Ovis aries: one gene and its partners. The protein of the gene in region 1 interacts with the protein of each later gene in a biochemical or structural test. Links are inferred from orthologs where the notes say so. Each region holds a gene or a part of one and is shown in the gene's direction. Other genes may lie near its edges. The genes, in order: EIF4E, EIF4EBP3, IPO8 and EIF4G3.

Evidence for each region.
Region 2: the proteins of EIF4E (region 1) and EIF4EBP3 form a complex in vitro, tested with the Homo sapiens proteins (2 studies listed by IntAct, with this or other methods). The link is inferred for Ovis aries from reciprocal best matches to the Homo sapiens genes EIF4E and EIF4EBP3.
Region 3: the proteins of EIF4E (region 1) and IPO8 form a complex in vitro, tested with the Homo sapiens proteins (2 studies listed by BioGRID and IntAct, with this or other methods). The link is inferred for Ovis aries from reciprocal best matches to the Homo sapiens genes EIF4E and IPO8.
Region 4: the proteins of EIF4E (region 1) and EIF4G3 form a complex in vitro, tested with the Homo sapiens proteins (3 studies listed by BioGRID and IntAct, with this or other methods). The link is inferred for Ovis aries from reciprocal best matches to the Homo sapiens genes EIF4E and EIF4G3.

What each region holds. Positions count from the first base shown.
Region 1 is NC_056059.1:26,265,225-26,270,705, forward strand, and holds part of EIF4E (eukaryotic translation initiation factor 4E), read left to right. Parts: intron 1-828; coding exon 829-935; intron 936-5,481. UniProt on the Homo sapiens protein: Acts in the cytoplasm to initiate and regulate protein synthesis and is required in the nucleus for export of a subset of mRNAs from the nucleus to the cytoplasm which promotes processes such as RNA capping, processing and splicing.
Region 2 is NC_056058.1:49,382,731-49,388,289, forward strand, and holds EIF4EBP3 (eukaryotic translation initiation factor 4E-binding protein 3), read left to right. Parts: upstream 1-2,911; 5' UTR 2,912-2,978; coding exon 2,979-3,082; intron 3,083-4,158; coding exon 4,159-4,337; intron 4,338-4,496; coding exon 4,497-4,525; 3' UTR 4,526-4,840; downstream 4,841-5,559. UniProt on the Homo sapiens protein: Repressor of translation initiation that regulates EIF4E activity by preventing its assembly into the eIF4F complex: the hypophosphorylated form competes with EIF4G1/EIF4G3 and strongly binds to EIF4E, leading to repression of translation.
Region 3 is NC_056056.1:184,422,333-184,427,813, forward strand, and holds part of IPO8 (importin-8), read left to right. Parts: intron 1-315; coding exon 316-519; intron 520-2,782; coding exon 2,783-2,899; intron 2,900-3,956; coding exon 3,957-4,054; 3' UTR 4,055-5,481. UniProt on the Homo sapiens protein: Involved in nuclear protein import, either by acting as autonomous nuclear transport receptor or as an adapter-like protein in association with the importin-beta subunit KPNB1.
Region 4 is NC_056055.1:245,522,908-245,528,388, forward strand, and holds part of EIF4G3 (eukaryotic translation initiation factor 4 gamma 3), read left to right. Parts: intron 1-564; exon of another isoform or gene 565-868; intron 869-1,016; coding exon 1,017-1,253; intron 1,254-1,925; coding exon 1,926-2,030; intron 2,031-3,432; coding exon 3,433-3,565; intron 3,566-5,481. UniProt on the Homo sapiens protein: Component of the protein complex eIF4F, which is involved in the recognition of the mRNA cap, ATP-dependent unwinding of 5'-terminal secondary structure and recruitment of mRNA to the ribosome. Functional homolog of EIF4G1.

The sequences.
Region 1 (5,481 bases):
TCAAGAGGCTCTTTAGTTCTTCACTTTCTGCCATAAGGGTGGTGTCATCTGCATATCTGAAGTTACTGATATTTCTCCCAGCAATCTTGATTCCAGCTGTACTTATCCAGCCTGGTGTTTCTCATGATGTACTCTGCATATAAGTTAAATAAGCAAGATGGCAATATACAGCCTTGATGTACACCTTTCCCGATTTAGAAGATTTCAATTCAAGCTGGTGTCCAGCTTTTTTCCTTAGGATCGTTTGAAAATGACAGAAGTTGCTCAACTTTATAAAGTTACCATATATCATAACAGTGTGACATGAAGGCAAGGATCTGTGTAGTATTGCCTTACTCATTTTATAAAGATTTTTTGTGTGTCATGTAATATAGTTAATTATGCTCTCCAAACTTTAGTTGAACTGGCCCTTCCCACTAACCACCCCTGCCATGCACAGCACTTTAATGGGATGTTAAAGATACTTCATTCTCCTATTTTCCATGGTGTCTAACAATCTTATGTTAAATTTGTAATTGGAAGATAACAATATATATTTTAAATTTGAGAAACATTTTGCTCTTAATGAAGAGATGCTAGAAGAGTCTAGTGCTTTTCTTAGAGTTTGGCTAGTGGTCTACTTTATCAAATGCTTCTCCTATAATTCATTCTTTAAAAAAAATGTTATGGACAGTATTGGTTAAGATTTATTTAGAGTATTGCTGTCATAGAGATTAAGTTTTCACAACATTGTAAATTAACTATATTTCAATAAAAATGTACAAATAAATTTCTTAATGTTATTTCTTCATGTTAAGAAGTTTATAATGTTTAATTATTTTCCACTAGGAAACCACCCCTACTCCAAATCCCCCGCCTACAGAAGAAGAGAAAACAGAATCCAATCAGGAGGTTGCTAACCCAGAACACTATATTAAACATCCTTTACAGAACAGGTAAGCTTTCTGACACATAGATTTTTTGACTTGGGCAACAACATAAATGGTGAATGGGACAGGTTTGGAGGGGAAGGTTAGAATAGACTGGTTTTAGGTATGTTAGGTTGAGGATTCCATTTTCACTTTGATGACCCACATCTGGCAAGCAGTTTTATGTGTGAATCTTGCGCTCAGGAAGTGTAACTTTGAATGGTAGTTGAAACCATAGGAGTAAATGAGTTCTCTTAAGTGAATCTGACTCACAACAGAGGCTTGGAATATTAGCACATGGGGATTTTTTTTGGGTAAGAATGGCTATGAAGATAACAGACGTGGTGCAAAGAGAGAGGGGGTTGGGCAGGGATGAACTGGTAGTTTGGAGTTAACAGATGCAAATTATTATATAGAGAGAGTGGATAAACAACAAGGTCCTACTGTATAGCCCAGAGGACTATATAGTTAATATCCTATGATAAACCATAATGGAGAAGAATATGAAAATATATATACAGATGTATAGCTAAGTCACTTTGCTGTACAGCAGAAATTACCATAACATTGTAAATCAACTGTACTTTAATAAAATTTTTTAAGAATGCCTGTGGAAGAGTATAGACATATATACTGCATAAACTAGGGCAGAGTGTTAGTCATGGAAACCAAGAAAATGGTTTAAGGACAAGGTACAGCATATATGCCCCAAAAAGGTCAAATATTCATTGGATTGAACAATAAGTCTTTGCTAACACTGGAGAAAGTTAGTAGAGTAGATGATAGAAAAAGATTGGTGTAGTTTGAAGAGTGAATAGAAATATACAAATGTATAGAGCAGGAATAGACAATTTGAAGGATAAAGTTGAGATGGTCTGTGAAGAAGAAAGAACCTAGGGTATGTGGAGTCTGGATATTGGTTGGTTTGTATTTTAAGAGAAGTTTAGAAGAGGAAAAGAGAGTTTAGGATGAGTTAAGTTTTCATAGTTGCAATGTAGTAGTTTAATACTTCAGTATATGCTTTTTCCTATCTCCACCCTACCACTTCCCAGTATGTGCTTTTACTTAATTATCTTTCTTGTTTATCTGATAAAACTTAACTTTAATTCACTGAGAGCTGATGGTGGGAACACTTAGAAACATTGTAAGAATCTGGAGGAAAGTAAATTAGATAAATTAACTTTCAAGGATCTGTAATTCCTTTCATTCCCCCTCTCCCAGACCCTATAAGTCTATAATTAGGTTTCATTTATCTGAAAAGTGTGTTGTTCCTTTATGTCCTTTTTTTTTCTTCATTATCATTGTAGACCTTCTGAAGTAATAGTCCAAATATGCTTTAGTAGTTTTTTCATAGAAGGTGGGTGATTCAGCGTACCCTCCAGGGAGGAACAAGTCAGTTCTCTAGATACTGTGGATTGTCAGCCAATGTGTGAAATACCGAAGGTCGAATAGTTGATAAAAGGAAAAAATTCTTTCTCAGGAAAGATTGTGCCAAACTAATACTAAGTTGGACAATTGATGAGTGGCAGTTTTATACAGTTCATCCTAGCAGCAGTACTAAAACCTTTAAAGTATTTTCCCCCCATCTTTTCAGTGGTATCATATAAAAAGCTCACTGTTTTCTCTCTGTGAACACAGTTCTTCATGTTGCTGTTATTGTGGGAGATCAAGGCATATATCCGTCATAGCTTAAGATGAAATCTGAGATTCCTGAAAGGTGCCCTTATCAGTGAACAAACTGATTAAATCCTAAAATGAAGTCTGTGAAGATTTTAATTTCTCTATAATTTCTTATTTCTTGTGTAAAATAACATCACATTGAAAACTGTTCTAAGACATTTTTGGTTCTGATTTTGGTGATTTCTTCATTATTTACTTTTTGTAAATAATTTTGTAAGGAATTATGTTTTCTTTAAAATAAAAACCACTATCGTATTATAAGAACGATTAAATCATTGAGGCTCTAAGTATACAAAGTTTTAAGTTCTCTGTTTTTCCCTGATACCTTCTTCCTCATTTTGTTTTGCTCCACTCCCCAAAATAGTCTGTTAAAAATTTGGTTTGTATTTTTCCAAAACCTTTCAATGTACATATATATACTTTTTTAATCTATACAGATTGCAGATTGCCATACTATTAAGTCTTTATTTTAATCCACAGCTTTGTTTTAAATGAATATACAGTCATATTTTATCAGGCTTACATTAATGAGTATGCAGAGTTTTTAAATTTACAAACAGTACTAATGTATGCATCCTTTTTTTTTTTTTCTTTTTGCACTTGTGTGAATATAGTGGTATATCTATATGGTAAAATTTCCGAGTTCTTAGGTTTAAGACTGCTCATTATCTACCTTTGTAGACACTGCCAAATTATCCTCCTTTATCTGCTTAGACTTACTGATTTCTACATCCTTGCCAACTGGTACCGTCAGTCTTTTAAATTTAATTGCCTGTCAGGTTGGTTCTAGCCTAATTTGCGAAAACAATGTCTTATTGTTTTGAATGTGCATTTCTTCTATTGAAGTTTCAAACAGTTTTGTTCAAGACAATTGCTTATTTGTGTTTTTACCTGTGAGAAGTCTGTTCAGTTCTTATTGTCTGTTATTTTCTTTTTGGTTATCTTTTCAAGTTTATTTCTAAGCATTGTACATTAGGGATGCTAACCGATCCAAGGGGGGATTAGGTTGAAATACACTTCCAAATCATTTGTCTTTTAACATTGTCTAAAGAGTTGTGTTATTTTAAAGGTTTTTTTATTTTCATATAATCAAATGCCAACTTTCCTCCATGGTTTCTGGGTTTCATGTCAGTCTTAAGAGAATTTTACCCACATATTTATCCTTTTTTTTTTTTAACCCACACAATTAACACATTTAATAGTGGCCTAGAAGTCTTCTTGCATGTATATATTATGTTTATTATATTTTTAAAATTATTTATTGTAATTATTTAAATCTCACTTCTTTGGGCTCATGACCCCTTTACATTCTTAAAAATTATTGAGGATTCCACAGTGTTTTACAGGTTATATAGATTTTCATCTATTTTCATTTGCTATATTAGAAAATCTCAAAAAATATAAAATTACATATGTACTTAACCCATTGCATTTTAATGTAAATGATTTTTATGGAAAAAATTTATTCAAAATAAAAAATACATAATGAGAAGAACAGCGTTTTTGTAAATATGTTCAAGTGCCTGGCTTAATAGAAATCAGCTAGGTTTTCATAGCTGGTTCTGCATTTTCAAGTCTTTGGAGATACGTTGTTTCAGAGGAAGTTTAAGGATAAAATATGACCTCAAATATACCATGGTTGGAAAAGGAGAAATTTTAATGGCCTTTTATAATTATGAATATCTCCTTCCTTTGATACTAGGTTTCTTGCAGGTTAGTTGCAATAAAGAATCTGAAACCACATCTAAGAACTTTTTTCTACTCTGTTGCTTTAAAATCCATTGATCTGTCTTGCATTTGAAATATATATATCCTTCTTCACTCATGAATACCACTGGTCATTTAGAAAATACTGGTTCAGTGAGTCTGTAGACCTTAATATTGGCATTTTTTATTATATGATATCAAAACAATAACATTATCATTACTAAATGTCCCAGAAATATACCCAAGTTTTGTTAAATTGTCATGCTCAGTGACACCTGCAGGCTTTCCAAAATTCTGATTTTTCTCCTGAAAGCTTAAATTTTAGCTACATGCTCACTCTGTTCATTTTTCAAGACGTAACCATGATTGATCAGCCTATTCTTCCAAGTAAAAGTGGTGTTCTTTGAGAAAGCGACTAGTTCTCCTCACAACTCAATGCCTAAGCATTGTCTTTGGTATGCAGAAGTATTTTTTGTGCAGAAAAAACATGTGCACAGATTGAAATTTAATAAAACAAGTATTTTATTACTGCTTCATCAGTGGCATTCTTACAAGAAACTGGCAGTTACTCTTCTGAGAGTTGATTATAATACAGGAACAGTGACAAATGGTAGACATGGGTGCCACTGTATGATTCTTGTTATGTACATCACTGCTAGGTTTACTGTTGTTTTTGCATCATCAGTGAACATGTTAACACAGTGAAAAATAAAATATCTTAGGACTTTTATGAAATAGTTTTTACTCATCAGTGCTCCTGAAAGGGTCTTAAGATGCCTAAGGGGATTCGTAAACCACATTCTAGAACTGTTGATAGGCACTTATGATGTTTCCAGTTTTCCAAATTTAAGAACGTTATTGTACAGATATTTTTGCTTAGTCATCCAGTCATTTTCTAGAATAAATCTTTAATGGCTGCAATTTTTTTTTAATGGAATGGAATTTTATTATTTTCAGTTGAAGTGTAACAATTTCAAATGTACAGCACAGTGATTCAGTATTTGTATGTATTGTGAAATGATCATAATCAACATCTATCACAATACATACTTATAATATATTTTCTTATAATGAGCGCTTTTAAGATTTAGGCTCTTCACAACTTTCACATTTGCAGTGCAGTGTTATGAACTGTATTTACTCTGTTGTACGTTGCATCCCCATGATTTATTTTATAACTGGAAGT
Region 2 (5,559 bases), on another chromosome or scaffold:
ATCAAAGTCTTTTCCAATGAGTCAACTCTTCGCATGAGGTGGCCAAAGTACTGGAGTTTCAACTTTAGCATCATTCCTTCCAAAGAAATCCCAGGGCTGATCTCCTTCAGAATGGACTGGTTGGATCTCCTTGCAGTCCAAGGGACTCTCAAGAGTCTTCTCCAACACCACAGTTCAAAAGCATCAATTCTTCAGCACTCAGCCTTCTTCATAGTCCAACTCTCACATCCATACATGACCACTGGAAAAACCATAGCCTTGACTAGACGGACCTTAGTCAGCAAAGTAAAGTCTCTGCTTTTGAATATGCTATCTAGGTTGGTCATAACTTTTCTTCCAAGGAGTAAGCGTCTTTTAATTTCATGGTTGCAATCACCATCTGCAGTGATTTTGGAGCCCAGAAAAAGTCTGACACTGTTTCCACTGTTTCCCCATCTATTTCCCATAAGTGTTGACAAAAACCCTCTGATTGAAAATCTTTCTTGGTCCTTCATGCAGGTTGAATGGATGATGGATCTGGCTTTCTCTCTAAAATCCAACTACCTATTCTCTAGTTCCCCAACCCTTGTAGCACACAGTGTCTCAAGAAAAGTAAGCTTCTGGTGGTAGTCTTATCGTAGTAGTAACTGCTGCTGTTGTTTTAGAAGAGATTAATAGATGGGAGACCTCGCTTCCATACTGATCCTTCTTGACAGCCTTTGACACTTGGCTCGTAGTTCTCCTGCTCTCACTGGTCTTTCCCATTCTCCTCTGGTGAAATCCTCTTCCTCCACTACCCCTTAAAGAAATACAGATGTGCCCAGGCCTCTTCTTTTGATGTATCTTCTCCCCAAGGAATCTTATCCCACAGCCTTAGATTTTACTCTACCCAAATCTGAATCACTAGCCCAGAGTTCTCCCTCTGTAGCTTCAGACCTGTACATCTGGCTCCTTACTTAACATTCTCCAGTGTTTTCCATCTGAACATTCCACACACATTATATATGACCCAATATAATATATGCCCCTCCCCTTGTTTTCCTTATTAGTTGGTATTATAAACTACCAAGACTTTCAAGTCACAAGACTGGGACTTATCCTAGCTTATCTCCTTCCCACCCTACCCTTAAATCAGTCACCTTATCCTTACTCCTCTGTGTATCTGGATCCCCTTCACTTCTCTCCATCCTTGCAGCCACTGTCTTCTTACCCACCCCATTTCACTAGGCTGGAGTCTTCACCTTCAGTCTCACTATTCTCCATCCCATGTCTCACTCCCCTCATTAGACTACTTACCTTGCTTAAAAGTTGAGTTGTCATAGACGGTTCCTCACAATCTGATCCCAAACCTTATGCTCCAGCACTTATTGTGAAAACACTTCCTTCCGGTATATACCACTTTATAAGAGGCTCAAAAGCCTTTTTGGAACAATAAAACATTTATATCCTTGCTACCTGAAGTGTGATTCTAAGGACATGCAAACCTAAGGGTCTGCATCACCTGGAATTTTATTAAAAGCTTAGAATTTCAAGTTCTAATTACTGTATCAGAATCTTCATTTTAGTAAGATCTCCAGGTGATTTATGTGTACGGTAAAATTTGAGAAGCAATGACTTGTAAAATACCGTTTTTTTTTTTTTTAATAAGTAAAGAAATCAGAGCTGAAGGAAAATTTAGTGAAGCCAAAGCTTAACTAATACTAATAAATGCATTAAATCAGGCGGCCTATAATTAATTGGCTGGAAGAGAAGGGGGACACTGGTGAAGGGTATACTGGTTTTGAGGAAGCCAAGCAGCAAACAACTAGATCAAGTTGAGATTTTTAGTGTGCTCAACTTAGAACTTACTCTCTTACCATCTCTTTCATGACTTTCATCATGCCTACATCAAAAAATCTCTTTAAAGGCCACTCTTGGGCCAGTGGTTAAGACTCCACACTTCAGTGCTCACTGCAGGGAGCTTGGATACCATCCCTGATTGAGGAACTAAGATCCTACATGCTTGGAGACTTGGCAAAAAGAAAAAAAAACAACCCAGGCTCTGTCTTGCCAGAGGGCTAAAAAACCAACCCCTCCTTTCCAACCCCCAGCCCTTCTTTAGTTTTCTGAGGTTGTGAGGTTAGCTAGCAAAGATTAACGGCAGGGGAGGGGACCACAGAGGATGAGATGGTTGGATGGCATCACCCACTCAATGGACAGAAGTTTGAGTAGACTCCGGGAGTTGGTGATGGACAGGGAGGCCTGGCATGCTGCAGTCCATGGGATCGCAGGGTCAGTCAGATACGACTGAGAGATTGAACTGAACTGAGGTTAGCTGTGGCAGAGATCAAAGAACAGGCCTATTGTATCTTCCAACCTTTATTCATCCTTTAATCAGTCCACTTATTCCACAACTAATGTCTGTGCACCAGGGCATCAAGGCACTTTAACCATGTACTGAAACTGATTAACGGGGGGCATAATAGCTGTGCTTAGGGGCACACATTTAAATCAGACGCACTCAAGTATGAATCCCAGCCCCCGCTCCTAATACAAGATCCGTGACTTCCAACCATGACCTAACCTCTCTGGGCTTTGGTGTCCTCACTTGTAACTGTAACTAATAATAGTGTCTTACTATCCAACTGTTAGGAATGGATGAATACAAACAAAAAACGTGTGCCATACCTCACACGCTCCCAGCACCCGCTGGAAATAGTAAATAGCAAATGACTGAGTGGCTGCAGCGCTCATAGGCAAAAGCAGGCTGGCCTATTTGGGGCCAGGAGGAACTGGAGACCACTGCGGGTCCCGGGACACGCTCCAACTTTTCGCTGAGTTTGGGGCTTGCTCCCGCGAGGGTAGGGCGGGATCTTCGGGTTGAATGACGGCCGGCCCGCCCCCGGCGTGACGTCGTCCCGGTGTTGTGGCTGCGACCGCACGTGGTAGACACAGTCCGCGACAGACTACGCTCTGCGACCTCAGCACCAGCCGCTGCCTTCCTGCTCTTTCCGTTCCCTATGCCCTCATCCACCAGCTGCCCAATCCATGGGGGCAGGGAAGGGCTGCCCAACTGCTACGGCAGCACGCCAGGGGGCAGCGGCACGCTATACGCCACTACCCCCCCGCCCCCCGCCGAGGTCAGAGGGCCGGGCCAGGGTCGACAGGCAACAGGCAGGCCTGCATGTGCTTGTCGACGGGCGTGGGCGGGGAGTTGCAGGCTGGGGTTGTGTGCAGGACCCCTTGCACGTTTTAGCTTTTAGCGGGGTGGGTTCTTGGAACTTAAGTTCAGTTCCCTAAAACCTCGAAGTGATGCAACATGGCCTTGTGCCTATTTTCCGGGTGACTCTGGGCAGAAATCATCACTGTGGCCTGGGTTCTGGGCTCCTTGTTCACCTACCCCTGCCAGTATTGCCGCCTGGGAGTTATAGCAGGAGCTTTGGCCCCTCGGCTGTGTGGCCTCAGCAGGAAGCACCTGGGTTTTGCAAAGCTGCAAGTGGTGGGGATCAGGGGCTGGAGGTGGGGGCAGTCGTGGGGCAGGGGCTTTAGGCCGCTGTGCTGGCTGGCTTGCCTAGTGGATGACTGGTGGAGCAGCCTGGAATCATACCTACTCAGGGGTTCCTGCCACGCAGGGGAAAGGGAGGAGAAGAGGTAGGGCCTTGTGACCACATGGCAGGGGCCAAGTCCTCTGGGCTGAGCTGAGCCTGACAGGACTTGGGAGGGGTCGGGATAAGAGCCTGTCCCTGGGTTTCACAGGAGCACTGCCCCTCCCTGTCTGAGCCCAGGTGGCAGCATTAGCCTTCACATCTGTTCTTTGGCTTCCTCATCCAACTGAGGCTGAAGGGCTAGGCACTACCTTTTGAACCAAACAGGTGAAGTTCAGAGCCAGCAGAGGACAGGAACCTCCAGAAGCTCTTGAGCTCCAAGTCTGGTGGTGCTCCTGGAGCTCCCCTAAACCAAAAGCCCCTGCCTAGACCAGCTGGGATGCCCCACTTGCTCTACGGTGCTGACACAACTTGGTTAGGCCCAGAAGCCTTCAAGTGCTGTGAGAGCTAGTCAGCTGAGATCCTGACTGGGCTGCAGAGCAGTAACCCTTAAGAAAAGGGAAGATATGACCCCTTGGCCCCTAAAAGACCTGTGTCTGGGGTCCCAAACAGCTTTGTACCCAAGCTCCTGCCTCTTACCTAGCCCCTACCCCTTGACAGGCACCAGGATCATCTACGACCGAAAGTTCCTGCTGGAGTGCAAGAACTCGCCCACTGCCCAGAGGCCTCCCTGCTGCCTCCCCCAGACTCCCGGGATCACAGCGCCTCCAACAGCCCCACCCCCCAAGCTAGAGGAGCTGACGGAGCAGAAGGAGACAGAGGAAGAGATACCCGGTAAGGAAAGCAGGCCCTAAAATTTTACTATGGCTTTGAACCCAAAAGCCCCAATTATGTAGATTGGGGGCGGGGGTCAGTTCTGAGGGGGCTGTCTGAACTAACACTGAAGCTACAGACTGCCAGCCCAGCAACCAGTCCTGCCCTTTCTCTCCCCAGATGATGCACAGTTTGAAATGGACATCTAATCCAGTGCAGATGACCATATGTGGAATGAGAGGAATCCATCACGCTGCTGCCGCTACCTCCTTTCTCTGGGGTATCCAAAGGCCTACTGGCCTCATCTAATCCGGAAGGGGGTGATATGTTGGTTCTGGGCCTCCATGTTGGGTCTGAGGCAGCTAGACCAGGGATAGGAGTGGGCAACTTGCCAAGCCCTTAGCTCTACTTTCTCTTTGGTCTGTAGGCACTCCTCCCAACCCCTGGCACTTGGCTCCAGCTGAGGCTGGGCCAGGGGAATGGAGAATGTCACTTTCTGACTGCTTAGTAAACATTCAAAGAAATGCCTTGGCTCCAGTGTTCTCCTCAATGTTGATCTTCCCAGCTCAGCCATAATGTAAGGGCCCCAGCAAACCTGGTTAGGATAAGAGGTCTCAGGTCCCTTTCTAGCTCCCTCTGGGCCCACTTTGAGCAGCAATTAGACCCTGAGGCAGACTTTGGGGACAGGCCATAGGAGCTGCCAAACCGTAAACAGCAATAGCCTGACCCCTGCCAAGGGCAGCTGCAGCCTTTCCAGGAAGCACCCTTCCCAGAATCAGCCTCTCTAGCCGTCCCTCCCTAGTTGTTTCAAAGCAGGAAACAAGAGGCAGTGCCCCAGCCTATAGCCTTCTTTGGTCTCTCCCCATGCCTTTTCTGCCTCCTACCTGTAAGTACCAACGTTATTCCAACACTGAAAACCTGTACTCTCCCTTCTCACAGCATGATGTGAACCTCCTGGCCCCTTCCACCTGGTTCTGTTGTCCTCAAAGTGTTAGAAGACCTTAGGGCCCAAACCGAGGCAGCAGCTTATTTGGTGAGTCAGATAAAGAGTCATAATCCTGCTCCCCCTCCCCTGCCCCCATGGGGAAAAATCATGTTCCCATATTGCAACAATCTGGTCTTTTTCACCTTCAGTTTATATAGCTATGTTATAATCTCTGTAGCACTTGCATAGGTCAAGGGTGATGCAATGCAAATAAGGAGTCTCCTCCTTTTGAGAGAAAAAAATGTTGAAAACAAAGTC
Region 3 (5,481 bases), on another chromosome or scaffold:
TTTTTACAAAAAGGTTAATTTGGGAATCTGTGGCTAAATAGTATTTATGTTAATGGATATGAAGCAGCCATTGTTAAACAGTAATAACAGTTCATCTAGATCACAGATTTAGAGATAGTTAGAAATTGTTTTAAATGAGGAAGATAAACTCATTTTCAATTTAGCAAGCTATAGTAAAGGTAAGGTTTATTTTACATAAAGTTATTTGATAGTTTTTCCATTTCTAGAATGTCACTTTATAATTTTTGTTTTCATTTGGATTATCTTTTGTCCTTATGTGATTTGATTACTTTTGAATGAATAATGGATTCACAGAAGAGATTTCAAGTGATGAAGAGGAGACTAATGTAACTGCTCAAGCAATGCAGTCAAATAATGGAAGAGGTGAAGATGAGGAGGAAGATGACGATGACTGGGATGAAGAAGTGTTGGAAGAAACTGCTCTTGAGGGATTCAGTACTCCGCTGGACCTTGACAATAGTGTGGATGAATATCAATTTTTTACACAAGCTTTGCTGAGTATGTTGTTACTCCCTGAATCGTCAGATATGTTTTTCATTTCCATCTTTTAGATGTTGTTTTGGGGTCTACCCCAAATTAGTTTAGAATTCCCTGTAAAAATTGTATTTATTTTTAATTATAGAAATCCCCAAACATACATAAAATGAGAGCAGATAGCATACTGTCAGGGTAAGATTGCAGGATATCCTCATAAAAGTAATTTAAGGCAGAGTAGCTATATATATTGTTCATCCTCTAGGTATAAAGAAAGATTTTTACAGAATGAAGTATCTCACATATTTTGCTTAAAAATTGTGGCCATAAACTTATCAGCAATTCACAGTCCCCTTGGGAAGGAATGGAGTCCATAAGAGAGTACATTTTTAACTATATAAGCAATATATCAGTTTTGTACAGGACAGGACATTAGAAATACAGTTAAAGTACTCATAAAAGATTGGAAGAAAATACTGTCATGTAAGATCTACAGATTACAGAAACCTATAAATGAATAAGACCAATAACCTAGTATAAGAATGAGATATATAAATAGAAAACTTATAGAATTAAAAATAAGTGATAAACCAATGAGAATATATGGAAAATTATTATAAACAAGTTATAATGAAAAGAAATCCCACTATATGGGTTGCTTGATAGTTGCATTGTATTTCTATGGCAGTATCATAATTTAGCTTATTTCCACTGATGGACATACAGGATATTTCCAGTTTTTTGTTTCTTTGCTGTTGTAAAGAATATTAAATTGAACATCCTTGTTCAATTTGAACACCAACCCTAAAATATTGTTGTTAATACTAACAAGGTAGTGGTAGCCTAATATACTGACATTATGTAGTATGCCAGTGTATTGTTTATTACAAATACCATTAATGAATCACCTCTGTGTTTTATTGAAATTTAGCAGGAACAAGAGGTAGAGAGTCCAGGGAATGATATTCCAAAACATGTGGAAGATAAAGAGCATAAAGGTGGAAATTGGAATGCAGAGGGTGTGCTCTAAGGCGCTACTGGACCTGGGTGTCCACCATAACCAACAAAGAAGCTCTTTGGTCTTGGGTGGGATCTCAGGATATGTATTTTGAAAAAGCTCCTCAAGAGATAGGCAACCAACTTTGTTCAGTCAGCATATATAGGGACCACTGCTTAAGTCTCTGTGAAGTGTTAGAATTGTACCAAATTGTACCAGCCTTGGATTCTGGACTGAGGTGGTCTTTATCCCATTGCCCATTAGAGTGTTGTTGAATGTTTTTGTATAAAGAGGTGATTTTGGGGATGTGGTAGTTTCTTTCAGGGGTATTATCTATTGATAATGTCCAAAAAGAACTGAAGTGGGCTAGACTTGGGAACCAGGTGTTAGGAAATTGCTTTATGTAAGTAAGGCCCTCGAGAGAAAGGGTGGCGTTTGATGAAAAAAAGCATATAGGTGAAAACCATCAAGAAAGAAGCACAGAATTGGATGTGCAGGGGGTATGATAGTGGTTGACCAGGAGACTGATAGAACTAGTGATGGAAATGGGGAGATCCAAAGAGAGTTTGAGAGGTAAAATGTTACATTTGGTTACAGTTGTGCTGAGTTGCAGGTGACCTATCCAATGTGAAAGTCCAGGAAGTTTAGTGAACAGTTTTGCCTAAAGGTACAAATTCGAGTTTTTGGTGTAGATGCAGGTAGCATGTGGCATGTGCCAGCAGCATGAGAATTCCTGAGGAAAATGATAACAAGTGAGTAAAGTGTTTCCCATGATCTGGACTTTAGGGAGCTTTCATAGTTAGTGAAACCCCAAGAAGTGGAGGAGATGGCAAAGGAGACAGAGAACTAGGCAAGGGAGAGATTTGTGGTGTTCCAACCCTTCTACAAGGGGCTTCCCTCGTGGCCCAGCTGGTGAAGAATCCACCTGCAATGCAAAGACCTGGGTTCGATCCTTGGGTTGGGAAGATCCCTGGAGAAGGGAAAGGCTACCCACACCAGTATTCCGGCCTGGAGAATTCCATGGACTATATATAGTCCATGGGGTCGCAAAAAGTCGGGCATGACTGGGCGACTTTCACTTCACTTCAGCCTTCCTTTGTAGCCCCACATAGGTTGAGTACTAAAGTGAGTACTCAGGAGTCATCCTTTGTTGGAATAAGTTTTATCACCTATTGTCTGTTATCATTTCATTGTAATTTGATTATATCATTAGTTATTATCTGAAATAATAATTGTCACTGGACTCCCTTATCATTCCTTCTCCCCTGAAACACCCCTGCATTACAACAGCTGTGCAGAATCGGGATGCTGCGTGGTATCAACTGCTGATGGCACCGCTCAGTGAGGATCAGAGGAGGGCGCTGCAGGAGGTGTACACATTGGCCGAGCACCGGAGGACAGTGGCAGGTCAGCCAGCATGATTTTCTGATCAGAGTGCATGTGTTGGTAGTTAGCCTTTATTTTTACCAGCCTCTAAAATTTGGTTTTAGAGGCCAACCTTTCAAGATAATAAGAAATTATCATTATTTTATGATTTTTTAATCACTTACGATAGCTTTGCAAAACACCCTGTGTTAATATCTGTCTTTAGTAGTGTTCTTATTCACACCTTTATCCTATTTTGGAGCCAAAGCTAAGACATAAAGGTGGGATGAATCTTGCTGAAGGAGAGTTAACCAGCTGGGTCACCCACCTAACCATCTAAACAGTGAATCAAAGGCATTTTATGAGTTCTTATAAGGACCTTATATTTCTAGAAATGAAATACTCTCCATTTCTTTTTGTTGGGCTTTATGTAGAAGTTGGTGATTCTTGTTGATTTTCAGTTTTTGAGATGGAGAAATTATTTTACGCAGATATTATTATGGCCACTTCTGGAAAATTAATGGAAGATTTTGTAATTACAGAAGTATTTTAGTGGAAGACAATATGGAATAGGAATCTAGAGTTTAGAACCCAGCTTCTTCTGCATGGACTTTAGACTTCAGTCCTGCCCAGATTCTGTATCGCCTCTCCTGATGGGAGAAGTGAGTGTGCCCTTTTAGGGGTAGACACTATGGCTTTGAGCCTTGTTTTTATATTGCTCAGTTTTAGCAAACAGTTGTTCCAAAATAGGAATTATAATTGCAGTCATTCCTCAGTATCTTCAGAGGGGATTGGTTCCTAGGCTCCCCTCAAATACCAAAATCCTAGGATGCTCAAGTTCCTTGTTAAAATGGTGTGGTACAGTGGGCCCTCTATATCCTGTGTATCTGTGGGTTACATATCCCCAGACACCTGGACGATTGTACTTACTGACATGGGTTTGTTAAAGGCTAGTGTTCAATTGGGCAGAATAATTAATACCACGATTCACATTCCTTCACAGTGCTAACTCTAAAGAATCTAGCTCCTTTGAGGATATTTCCAACTTTGTTACCTTAGATACTCTTCTCTTTTCCCTGCTTTCTCTTGCAAATTCTAGAGGCAAAGAAGAAGATTGAACAACAGGGAGGCTTCACCTTTGAAAACAAAGGAGTCCTCTCTGCATTTAATTTTGGGACTATGCCTACCAACAACTGAAAGAAGGAACATCAACTGACCAAATGTCATCGTTACATTGAACGTCAGCGGAAGGAGAGGGTCAGCAGAGCTGGGGAGGGGCTGCTGTTTGTGCCACCTGCTGTGCCAGTTACCGCTTGGCATCCGGCAGCACCTTTCTCTGCCCCTGTGTCCCCTTTGATCTTTCTCACCCTGAAATATATATTTTAAGCAGCTGCTGTAATGTATGGAATTAAAGAAAAACAAAATCGTAGGACTGAAAAGGACAAAGCATATGCTCCAAAGGATGAACGACCAAGGTGGATTTAGAGGATTGGATGGAATTGCACGTCTCAGGTTTTGCCATGCAGAATCAATGGATTTATGCGAATAACAGTGCCTTCTGTTGTACATGAATTATCTGAAAAAAATTTTTTTGGAGTGTGTTGCAATTTTTTTTAAAGCATAAAACATATTTCTAGATAAATGTAAACCTTGGCTGTATGTTGATTTATTCTGTATTTTACTATGTGAATTTCCTGTTAGACAGTTAGCTACAAGTCACTCTGGTTTCAAAATCATCACTGCTCCCCTTGACCCCCTGCTGCTGGGGGCTTTCTTCAGGGGTTGTACAATATGCACTGGCTCTGGTTTTTCATAATGTGTTTTTTCCTAAAGATGTGGCTTTCCTAAGAAGTGTCTTATTCTCTCTTCTGTCATATTTTTCAGCCCTGAAAGGGGTAGTATTTCTTTTGAATCAATCTATATGAGTATGGATTTCATTCATAACCTGGTAAAGTTCAGGACTCAAAAATTTCTTGGCAGCAAGTGGCAGGGACTCCTTAGTCACTGGAATTAACAATAAGTCAGAGTATTTTCTGAATCATGTACTTAATTATGCAGTTAATTGATAATTATGCTAAAGCACATTGAACTTCTACGAGAAAGGTGCTGTATAAGTATGCTGTCTTTCTGGATGGGAGCTTGCATTGTCAATAACTTATCATTCCAGCTGTGTTGGACCTGGGTCCAAAACATTTTGTAACAGTATTTTTTATCTAGGAAAAAGACCCAAGTAAATCTAACTTCTTGCTTTCTCACACATCTGACTTTTCTCCTATCTAATCTGAACTGAATCTGTTTTTATTTTAGCTCAGATTGGCTTCTTCTATTTTTCAGGGGTTGGGATATTGGTCACTGCACTCTTACATTGTAATGATGCAAGATAGCCCATGAGAAATATTACAGATAGAGGTTACAGCTGTTTTTCCGAACTGATTCAGTGCCAGAACATGGGTCATAGTGTTTTCATTCTGTAAAGTGAAAATGGATTTTCAGAACTTAATATATTTCTGGATATGATACAGTTGTCCTTTTTTATGAAATGTTTGCAGCTTATATTTTCCATCAGTGACTGGAGGAATTTCCTCCAGGTGCTTTCTAGATTACCATCCCTTGTTAATATGAAC
Region 4 (5,481 bases), on another chromosome or scaffold:
TTAAACAGCAAGACAATTGACTTGAAGGGAAAATTATATAGGATCATTTCTTCTTTTAGAGTAATTTATCCTTACTTAAACAGAGATTGCCCTACGTGTAACAGCTACATACAGAAAAGTTATAAAGTTGTCACTGGTTTTACAGTGGTAAATGGAAAACATTAAAATCCTCCAATCAAACAAGGAGTGCAAGAATTTTTATGTGGTTCTATTTTTGTTAGACAATGAAAGCAAAATAATATACTGGAGTATAAAGAAAAGAGTTGATGAGTATGCCCCAAATGGAGATAAAGGGGATGTTTTCACCAGACCAGTATTTTTCCCCATCCCATCTTCATTTGGTGTCAGTCAAAACATACCATCGGCCCTGTCGTTTTTTTCAAGTGCACTATGCGTGTGCATATACATCAGTTACTCTGTGTATAGTAAGGGAATGAGAAAGGAGAAAATGAAAGAGTAGAGAAACTACACTCCAGCAGTCAGGATGTGGCGGAACCAAATTGTGATTTTCTAGCGGAGAGTGTCTTTTTGGTCTGGAGGAACAGAATTCTAGGGGTTCCCTATTTAGTAGACACCTACTATCTGCTCTTGGAACACAACAGTTGTATCTTCATCCTCCACTTCTAACTGTTCAGGTGTGTCTTTTTCACTGATTGGCTGCCCGTCAGATCAGAATTGATCTGCCTCACTGACAAACCCTCTCATTCACAATAGGCTTTTATTAGGGTACTAATAAAAGAGCTGTATGCCTCTTAATGTTAAACGGCACCTCTGAACCATCCTGCCCCTCCACCTTCAAATTAGTATGATTGTTTTTCTTGGTTTTGACGCCTTCCTTGAGCTTTTCATCAGCAGTGCTGAGCTCCATAGTCTCCCTAGCTGCTGCTTCATAGGAGACTTGCCAGGTCTGCACTGAACGAGCACACAGGCAACACCAGTCACACGTATGTTTTTAGCATCTTTTGAGTAGTACGATCTTCATCATCAAGATTCTGTTATTCTTCCTTATGCAATAGCCAGAGGAGAGGACAAGGCTTCATGATGAACTGGAAGAAGCTAAAGATAAAGCCCGGCGGAGATCCATTGGCAACATCAAGTTCATTGGCGAACTCTTTAAGCTCAAAATGCTGACTGAAGCCATCATGCATGACTGTGTGGTGAAGCTGCTGAAGAACCACGATGAAGAATCCCTCGAGTGTCTATGTCGCCTGCTCACCACAATTGGCAAAGACCTGGACTTTGAGAAAGCAAAGGTACGACCCCCAAATCTCAGAAACCTCCTGCAGGGACTCTTTGTCAGCTGCGGAAGTTGACTGTCAACACAGGTCTCCATCTTATCCTAGCAGCCAAGGCTGCTTGCTTTTCTTTCGTCCTTCTCACTGTCAGTGTTGGGCCATGGTGCTCCTTACCACGTTTTCATTAAAGTCAGAAGTGAAGAGGGTCCAAAAGAATTTAAAAGCCAGGTCATGAATTGAGATTATTTGTCCCATGTCCTTTATTTTACAGGGCCTTCACATGTATATGAATAGCAATACATTTCTGTGGCTGGCTAAGAGATGACAAAAAATTTCAGTTCCTCCAGTGTAACATTTTGTCATCCCTAAGGTGTAGCCCTGGAGTACTTCTTGACATCATAGCCAAGAAGGTTAGAAAAGGGCAAAGGACACAGCCACCTCTCTCTTAAGGTTCCAAGGGGATGCAGTAGGACATTTCCATTTATATTCTGTTGGCCTATATTTAGTCATATGGCCATGGCCTGCCGCCTGGAATGTGTAGCCTTTATTTTGGGTGTCATGTTCAATTAAAAATTCTACCACAATTCCTTTTGGCCAAAAGTTGTATTCCTATGCTGTCTTAAAATTCTGTGTGATAAAACAACATTTGAATTCCTCAGCCAGGAATACCAGTGATTTTGTATCTTGCAGCCACGTATGGACCAGTATTTTAATCAGATGGAGAAAATTGTGAAAGAAAGAAAAACCTCATCTAGGATTCGATTCATGCTTCAGGATGTAATAGATCTAAGGCTGGTAAGTAGAAAAATCAACCTACCTCTTCAGTCTCTTTTCAGGATTGGCTTGGGGAGGATGTCGTAGGATTTATATGTGTAATGGCGTAATGCTTTTGCCGCATGACTCAGAACATGGATCGACAAACTGTGACGAGAGCTATGTGGAAGGACAAAGAGCATATACACCTGCCTGTCTGTAACTTATTTCTTCTCTTTATTCTGGTGATCAGACCACTTTGCAGTTTTGAAACCAGCCATTCTGAATGCAAACTGTGGTCATTTAATTTAATCTTAGCATGCTAAATAATCAAGAATTCTCATCTTCAAAATAAATGTATTTCTCTTCCCCGAGCCTTACATTTTAATCTCTGAAGTGGTGACATTGTCTGCCTTGCAGGTGTGTTATAAAGATTCAGTGGTTATGTATGTGCCCAGCTCCCAGGAGATGTAGATGTTTTCCTCTCTATTGTTTTTCCTGTATACCCTCTTGTTCTGCTGCTTTTTTTCCCTCCTTTGTCATGCTAAGTATAGTTTTTACCACTACCACCTTTTTCAACTCCAAGAGGAAATACACTGCCACTGACCCTAAGGTAGAGGAAGTGAATATAGGTCCCCCTCTGTACCCTGCCCTGCCCTCAGACCAGGCAGCATTGACGATGGCTCTTTATCTTACTAAGCTGAGACGTGACCTCAGGATCCTTATTAACAAAGTCACTTCCAGTTGATCAGAATTTTGAATGCGATTTAAATCTATTTGCCATTCTTGCCTCAAACTAATATAAGTAAATGTTAAAAATTGCTCCGCCTCTTCCTTCAGTCACTCATATTTGTATCAGATATTGAGACTATAGCTCAGAAGGGAAGGAATGGGAGAAGTGTAACTTGAAGGAGACAGCTTGTCTTACCCTTAGTGGAGAGGATAACTAGAGCTAGAGCTTAGAACATTTTGTATAGATACCACAACCTCCATATGCGAGGAAGGAAAATGCTAGTCATCCTCGATTTAGAACCCCAGCGGAGTGTGGTGTGAACTGAGTAGCAATATATCCAACAGCGTCAAGGCCAGAAGTCCTGATCTTTATTGATTCCTCCTCTCTCTCCTTTGGAAAGTGCGAAATGATAAAATGTACAGATAGCTGGCTAGATAGGTAGGTAGGTAGATAGTTGGGCCATTCTTTCACTCTGTATTTCTATCCGTTGGCTTCTGCATAGAGTGACTCAGTGGCTGAGGCAGATTTCAGTGTTCAGCACTGCATCTGAACTGCACACAGAGCCATCTGTGAGGTGGCTGAGCCTGCTGTAGCGCCAGGTTTACATGTATGCTATGCCTTTCTAGCAGTGAAAGGAAGAAACCGATTTTTCTGAAGTTTCCTTTCTATTTTTAGTTATCTGGCTGACATCCTGGTTTTCTCCTTTTATAGTGTAATTGGGTATCACGACGAGCAGATCAGGGGCCTAAAACTATTGAGCAGATTCACAAAGAAGCTAAAATAGAAGAACAGGAAGAGCAGAGGAAGGTCCAGCAACTCATGACCAAAGAGAAGAGACGACCAGGTGAGGGGTGGGTCTGCCGGGCGCTAGGGAGCTCAGGGGCTTGAGGGATGGATATGTTGAGAATTCTACACTCAGGTGTGAGATGAGAGCAGAAAGACTGACCCAGAGAACAGAACGGTGAGTGGCAAGTGGGACAGCATCACCTGGAGACTGGTTGTGTAAAAACAGAGAATGTGGGAAGTACGTATTATTCCTTTGATTACTCCAAAGTCAGCAATCAACAAGGCTTTATTGAGCATCTTCTGTATACTCAGTATAGGTGAGGGATATGAAAAGAAGTAGAAGATACAGCTCCTTCCCTCTGGAAGCCAGAACTAATAAAGGGAATGTTTTCAAGCAAACGGAAGATACTATCAGTTATGAAATGTATTCTCCACTCAGGCTGTTAAAATTCAGAACAGGCAGGATAGCAACCTAGAGGAAAGGGACACTTGAACTGTGCACTGGTAGATGGCCAATATTTGGAAGGGATGGAAAAATTATAGTCATGAAACTAAAGTAAATATATACTGTAAAGAAGAATAAATAAGCCTGATTAGAGTAAAATTTAAGTGTTGAGAAGGATTGAAAAAATCCGAGAAGAGTGGACCCAAATCAGGAAGTTGGGCTCGAGCTGACACTGAGGAGCCGCCGCGTGCTTTTGAGCAAAGGCTTGATGATGGGCTGGGTACATGTCAATAAAAGGGGTCTGCTGCTCCCTGGAGAAGACGTCGATGCTGGGAGTGACTGAGGGCAGGAGGGGAAGGGGGCGGCAGAGGATGGGATGGCTGGATGGCATCACCAACTCAATGCGCATGGGTTTGAGCAAACTCTGGGAGATAGTGAAGGACAGGGAGGCCTAGCGCAGTGTAAGTCCATGGGTTCACACCGAGTCAGACACAACTTAGCAACTGAACAGCAGTGACCACATTGCTTGTCACACGGTGAATCAAAGGGTATACCAAACTCAGAAACACTGTTGTCAGTTGAAATCCTATGTGGAAGGAGGTTAAAACTTGGTAGTGATAAAAATAAAAAGGAAGAAAAGAAAAAAACGTGAAATAGTAAGCATTTTACACCTGAGAAAATAGAAAATTCTGTTGACTCAGTTTAGGAACATTGAAAGGAAACTTTTTCCAGAAAGGAAAGGAAATGACCGTTTTTCTTATAAGATTGTTTCTTCTGAGATGACATCCAAATGGGAACGCTCGTTTTGTCCACTGTGCTATGACGTGCTCAGATGGTGAACAGGTCATATTAGTATAAAGGTTGAGGGCGTAGACTCAAGCCAGACTGTCTTGGTGTGAGTTTCAGCTCTCCTGCATCCTAGCTCCGTGACCTTGCGCAAGTCACTTAATCTATAAAATTGATCGAATAATAGTACCTAGGATTTGTGTGAGGCTGAAATGAGATAGGCAAAGTGTTCAGCATAGCAACTGACACTGACTAAATATTCAACAGCTATGACCTGGTATTTATCAGAGACACTGTATACTCAGTGAAGTTCTGAGAGATGACTCCACCAGGGAAGAGAGTGTGCTTTTCCATTCCCCAGGAGCAAGGAATAATCAAGCGTGTTCATGACCATTAGTATCACTTAGCAAAGAGAAAATCAAGAAGCATGTGAGGATTGAAAAAGCTTTTAGACAGACAGTTTGGTGGTCTTTCATTCAGTAAATATTTATTGAGTGCTTGTCACATAGCAAGAGAGACAAAGTCCATTACTTCCTGCAGCTCACATCTTAGGAGGAACAGAGGGGAACAAATACTTAAATATATAAGTTTGGCAGATATGTTCTATAGGAAAACTAAAACAGAGAAGGAGTAGGAATGCAAGGTTTGATGAGTAGAGAGGTTGCAGTTCTATATTAGGAAGATTGGGAAGCCTACTTAAGTTGGTGTTGTTTGAGCAAAGACTGAATGAAGTAAGGGAAGGA